Cricetulus griseus: one gene and its partner. The protein of the gene in region 2 purifies or fractionates together with the protein of the main gene of each other region. This does not show direct contact. Links are inferred from orthologs where the notes say so. Each region holds a gene or a part of one and is shown on either strand. Other genes may lie near its edges.

Region 1 (3,652 bases), on a different chromosome or scaffold from region 2:
CAGCTGAGTGCTGTCCCAGGACCGCTGAATGGTAATCTCCATCTTGGAGAAATCCAGCCACAGTCAGACCTGCCTGGACCGGTGGGAACTTTGGGAAAGGAAGCTTGAGTGGCCTGTGGTTTCCTTGTAGAAGTCTCAGCTGACTGAGGTGAGGAACGAGTGAAGCCCAGAGGGTCCACATATGGTGTCAGCTTTCCCGAGAAATGCTCAGGGACTATCCGCTGATAGTCATGGCTGGCCCTCACTCATGCCTCAGGAGGCACGGTGTCTGTGGCCATGAGCCTCCTGCAGCACTGAGGACCAGGGATGGACTAGCTCCTGCCCTCATGGCTTCTGCTGAGGTGATATCCCATGGGTACCTGCGTCTGCTCTACCAGAGGACTTGCGCACAGTGCTCATCTGAACATTACTGCACCAGCCTGGCCTTACATGACTGAGGCCATGCCTGGGATCCCGTCTTGTCTGAGCCACTGTTTGACACAGTGGCCCACTGTGTTTCTGCAGGAGCTGGGATGGTGGTAGACTGGGAACAAGAAACTGGCCTCCTCATGAGCTCAGGGGACGTGCGCATTGTCCGAATCTGGGACACTGACCGTGAGACGAAAGTGCAGGTAACGACTCCGGGCCCCATGCTATGTAGTACCAGACACCCCATGCTCCCACTCCACAAAATAGAGCCCATCCCTATCAAAGAGAACCAAGACCTGTGGCCTCCAGGCAAGCACAGTCAGTGGCTGCTGCCCAACTGTCTGCCCTGTCTGTCTGCAGGGAGACGGCGGGGAGATGGCATCTTGCTGCAAGGAGAGAAACTGATTACCTCTCGATGCACAATGACCCTGCATTTCAGCATAATTAAGCCTGTACTAATCCAAATTATTTCCAAATATTGTTTCTCCATGCAAATTAGGAACTATCAGAAATCAGTAGGATGAACTGTCTTAAATGAGAATGGTTAATTGTTTGACTGTCTGCATCTTTCCTTACCCTGTGGTGCTGGACACAGAAGGCCGGGCTTGTGTATGCTACCACTAAGCTGAAACTCGGACCCTTACCTACTTTTTTCTTTCTTTTTCTTTTTTTTTTTTTTTTGGTTTTTCGAGACAGGGTTTCTCTGTGGCTTTGTAGCTTTGGAGGCTGTCCTGGAGGCCAGGCTGGTCTCGAACTCACAGAGATCCACCTGCCTTTGCCTCCTGAGTGCTGGGATTAAAGGCGTGCTCCACCACTGCCTGGCCCATCTTTCATTTTCAAGATTGCTTGATTTTGAGACATAATCTTACTGTATAGACCAGTGTGGCTCCAAATTTTTCATAATAATAGGTTTTGCCTCAGATACCTGGGCTTCCTTGCCAGAGTCCAGTTGATCCTACCTCCTTTGGGTCCAGGGCAAAATCACAGATACTGTTTAGGACATCACATAGGTAGCTGAGAGATGTGTTTTCCCAGTGCCCAGCGAGCCACAGAGCAGAGCCTGGCCTCAGCATTCTCCAACCTGCCCTGCCAGAGTGGCACATGGACAGTTGTGGACATCTGCAGGGCAAAGGGGCAGAGACAGGCAGGAATGACAGGAGCTGGCATGGCATGAGGTCTGTCCATCAACACCGCTAGCATGCCACCATGGCACCCTCACACCCCATGGTGCCACATGACAATTGGAGTAAGACAGTGCTTGGCTGCTCCTGTTTCTAGGGGGCTATGTGCAGGTACAGCGCTTCCTTGGGTGTCATCGAGTCAGCTGCAAAGAAGGGAGCTTAGCTCTTTAGCAATTTTCCCCATTCAGAACCCCCCACAATTCCCCGTTTGCCCCATCTGATTAGAGAGCACTCTCCCCCTGAGACCCAGCTCCAGCTCCCGTTACTTCTTGCTCCCATTCATCACCCATCCTGCCCTTCTGCAGTATTTATGGCACCAAGGGGAGCAGAGAAGCAGTTCCTCAGCTCTTCCCTGACTAATTAGGGGTTTGAGGAGAGAGCTAACGAGGCTCCCTCCCTGCCAAAATGTGCTTCATCTTTCTTTTCAGGAAAGGGAGATGTTGCTGGAAAGGTTAATTGTCACTGAGAGCCAGGCATACCCACAGTTGCTTTCCAGGCTGTGCCCAGGCTTGGGCTCACAGGCTCTGCTCAGCCTGGCCTGCAGGCACAGGCTCAAGGCAGACAGGCAAGCAGATCAGCCTCATGCCTGAAGCCCTGTAGCCTACGATAGCCGCGTAGGTCGAGACCTGTTTCTCGGCCTGAAAGAAATAGATGTGCACAAAAGACTGCAGCAGCTGGAGGCCCCTCCTCACGGCTCTTTTTTCCCGGGGCTTAGGACATTCCCACCGGTGCTGACAGCTGTGTGACAAGTCTGTCCTGTGATTCCCACCGCTCGCTCATTGTGGCTGGCCTGGGCGATGGCTCCATCCGAGTCTACGACAGGAGGATGGCACTCAGTGAATGGTAACTGTCACAGCTCTCCTCTCCTCAGTGCCGTTTAAGATGGCAGAGGCCACTCCACTGTCAGTGTAGGGTCCAGGTTCCTCTGAGCGTGAAGTGTCTTCAGTTTACAGTGGAGCTCTGACCTCAGGCGAGAAGGCAGCACCTGGGCTACAGAGAATGCTCGGTAGGGTCATAGCTGGGCTTGTGTGTCTTCATTCTCCATCTTCATCTGCTGTCCAGTTGTCTGACAGCCCTGTGGCCTGTCTCTCAGAGAAAACCTCTTGAAGCTGACCCCACAGAGACAGAGGAACAGAGTGGCCTTCTCACTAAGCTGCCATCTCAGGCGGGTCTAGTAGGCCTTCTTCATCCCAAAATAGCATCCAAATTTCAAGGCCAGAACTAGGGAATTGGAGGCTAGACAGATAAGGGGAGTGGCCTAATACAGCCTAGCCAGCAGCTCCAACTTGGGTGTCCTCCTGAGGTTCTGCCCAGGGGCAGAGACGCCAGGCCACACCTGCTCCTCCTCGCCCTCCCTGCAATTCCCTGGCCGATGGGCTATGGGAGAAGAGGGACTGGGCTGGGCCCAGCCTGACTGCACCTTCCTCCTTTAGCCGGGTCATGACTTACCGAGAGCACACAGCGTGGGTGGTAAAGGCCTACCTGCAGAAGCACCCTGAGGGCCACATCGTGAGTGTGAGGTAAGGAGCAACATATGCACAAGACGTTTGCTGTGAAAACATTGTTTCCCCTCCATTTAAATATGTCCTTGATATTTAAACAGCTAGGGACTATGGCATTTCAGAGCAGTAATTGACTCTACACTGTGACTGGCCAGAAAGGTCAGAGTGCAGAGAGTTTGTGTGTGTGTGTGTGTGTGTGTGTGTGTGTGTGTGTGTGGGTGGGTGGGTGTGTTGTGGGTGTGTTGTGGGGGGGTGCTTGTGTGTGTGTACATTCGCACTCGCATCCATCTGTCTGAATGAGATGAGGAGGCAGGTGTGTCCCTCCTGTAGTCGCAGGGGCAGCAAAGCACGATGCACCTGGCAGCACAGTCCCAAGCAGGCTGGCTGTCCCAGCAGACTGCCTCATCACCAGCCAGCCTCTGCACATAAATTCAGGCCTGCTGCTCAGTAAATACTGTGCTGAGAGCAGCGAATCTTTATTTGCCTGTTAAAGAGACAGCAAAGCATAATTTACTGTTGTGAAGCCACCATTCCTTCAGAGTAATGTTCTTTCCCCCTTAT
Region 2 (2,676 bases):
TATGGACACAGACACAGTAGCAATAATATGCTCACAATAAACATGCCCTTCTCTGTAGAATGGTTTTAAGCAGAAGATTATCAATCTTAAAAATATTAGACTCTCAAGGGAACTGGGATTGACATGTAAAAGAAGCTTGTTTCTAATTTAAAAATAAATAAATTAAAAAAATATCAGACTCTTTTGTAACTAACGAGGCTGACACAAAATAAGCTTTACAAACTATATACCTGATTTTCCTTTGCAGAAGATTCCAAAAAAGCTGCGTTCCAAGATTCTGCCAAAGCTTTCCCTTCTTCGTAACTGATCACCCTTAAAAGAAGGAAAAAGAAAGCCTTGACTCTTTGACATGTAGAACAGCTACGATTATTTATCAAGCAGCCCCACTCTGACCCATTCCACCGTGAAGCAGAACTGTGTGCTTTCCTTCTACTGTCAGGAAGTGACAGGAGCTGTAGTCCCGCCTGAGCTGGAACAGAACAGGCAAGTTTCAGGGTCATCTACGTGCCAATGAGCTCTTGCAGTTCAGGGAAGCAACTGCTTTCCAGTACTGCAGCATCAATCACGACAGCCATGCCATAGGAAGAGTTTAAGCAACTCAGGGCCCAGGAAAATCCCACCAGGGCCACCAGCCTAGGCTCCTCCCAATGCTCTGCCCTGAGCTCCCTGCACACGGTGTTCCTGCCCCTGTTCATCACTGTGATCACAACCAGTACACAAAGTACTGTATGGAAACTGAATAATATCTGTCTCAATAACTAACCCCAAGGGAATCTCCCGGTTTGCTCCTCATTGTCAACAAGTGTGGCATTTGTACGGTATATTGTTTCTGTTGTACACAGTGACAAAACTTTGGCCATGAGAAAATAATTTAAAAATGGTATTTTGCTGACTAAATCGCCTTGGACTTAAGAGCTACATACCTTTCCATATGCAGGTCCTTCTTATTTCCAACCAACATAATAGGTATCCTATTAGAAGAGACAAGAGCAGAGGTAAGTCAGGTCCACCATTCCCAGCTCAAGAGATGCTGGTTTGCGGTTCTAGAGAGAGACAGGCTACTTACTGCACTTTCCCCACCATATCCAGCAACTTGCCATGGATAACTTTAATTACTTCAAAACTACAAAACAAAAGCACAGGAGCAGATGTCATTTTAACCACAGATGATACTCAGTGATCCTTAGTGTGACTATACAAAGTAAGACAGGTTCATGCGTCTAGCACTGGGCTGACAAACCACAAGAACATGGACTTGATCCTCAAACTGTATCCATTAAATGGAAATCTGTAGAGCTTTTCGCAGGTAGTGTTCCCTAGTGATCAGCCCTGTTTGCTTTCCTTTCTTGTTTTTGAGGTAGTCTTGATGGAATTTGTTACATAGACCAGGCTTGGCCAGTTCTGTCTGTCTCCCCAGTGCTGGCATTAAAGGCATGTGACCACGGCTGGCTCCCCTCCTTTTCCATGAACCATTATTCACTGGGTGATGCTAACCCTGGATTTTTACTGTCATCGACGTGCTGATGACCCTCAAACATGTCATAATGATTAACTTAAAATCACTGCCACAGTGGGATCATTCACACCTCTGACTACTGACTAATGGGCACAAGCCATTCCTACCCTCACTCAGAAAACGTGGTGTGAGCACCGTCAGAACACACTGCATTACCTTTCAAGCTGCCCAGGACAGGATAGCCTTCCACTCCTCTCTGTGGTCCCTTAGCCTGGCTCTGTGCTTCTTCCCATGGCTGGCTTCCCCCTGGATGACTCTCAAGTCCTAACTTGACTTCCTTTCCTTCTGTCCCTTATCCCCTCTGCTGGGCCTCCAGCACTGCCAGACCATCCCACTGAAATGTTCTCCCCCTTGAGATCCAAGTCTTTACTTTATGGCTCTTTCTTTCCTCAGATTTATTTTTAAGTTATATATATATATATATGTGTGTGTGTGTGTGTGTGTGTGTGTGTGTGTGTGTGTGTGTGTGTTTGTGTGTCTATATGTGTGGGTGTCTGCATAATCTAGAACAGAGCACTGGAACCCCAGGAGCAGGAGTTACAGGCTGCTGTGGGCTACCCAATGTGAGTGTTGGGAACTGTACTTTGCAAGAACAGTGCACGCTCTCTAGCCTTTAATGGCTCTTCTTAGACTTGCTCACCCCACATAAACCCACAAACTCTCACAGCTCTCATTCCCTTCTTAAATTCTCTGTCACAGTACCACTGTCAAGAAACTTAAGACAGCCCAAGCTTTGAACAAAGACTGCTGAACGCAGCATCACACATACTGTTACTGATGAAAATTAAACTTTACTCCATTGAAGTTCACCAACAGGACAGGGCACCCCCATTTCTACAGGCTGTATTTGGATCCACAGTTCCTTTGCCTACACTGAATGAACCCATGAGAAACAGCTGGAAGGCTGGGACTGGGTGAGAGGCAGTGGGGACCAGCTTTCTTTCTAGTAAAGGTACTTTCCTCCTACCTCCTGGTGAGAGCTGGCCTAGTGACTACCTAACAATGAGCAGGGCACAAACATGGTATTTGGTACCATGGAGGCTAGGGCCTAGCTGTCTTCATTTCCATCGTGCTGCAGACTCTGATCCACTTTGTGTGCTTGTCCTCATGGGAGAGTTATTTAGTAGAGAAATGGGATGGCTTCCACCCAGGAAGAAAAT

What was found. The genes of interacting proteins can lie anywhere in the genome.
Region 1: the proteins of Rheb (region 2) and Rptor purify together in Homo sapiens (affinity purification with western blotting, with the first as the bait; 3 studies listed by BioGRID). This does not show direct contact. The link is inferred for Cricetulus griseus from reciprocal best matches to the Homo sapiens genes RHEB and RPTOR.

Annotation. Positions count from the first base shown.
Region 1 is NC_048600.1:132,394,636-132,398,287, forward strand, and holds part of Rptor (regulatory-associated protein of mTOR), read left to right. Parts: intron 1-504; coding exon 505-611; intron 612-2,304; coding exon 2,305-2,432; intron 2,433-3,022; coding exon 3,023-3,109; intron 3,110-3,652. UniProt on the Homo sapiens protein: Component of the mechanistic target of rapamycin complex 1 (mTORC1), an evolutionarily conserved central nutrient sensor that stimulates anabolic reactions and macromolecule biosynthesis to promote cellular biomass generation and growth.
Region 2 is NC_048601.1:97,742,092-97,744,767, reverse strand, and holds part of Rheb (GTP-binding protein Rheb), read right to left. Parts: intron 1,124-2,676; coding exon 1,067-1,123; intron 972-1,066; coding exon 924-971; intron 313-923; coding exon 231-312; intron 1-230. UniProt on the Homo sapiens protein: Small GTPase that acts as an allosteric activator of the canonical mTORC1 complex, an evolutionarily conserved central nutrient sensor that stimulates anabolic reactions and macromolecule biosynthesis to promote cellular biomass generation and growth.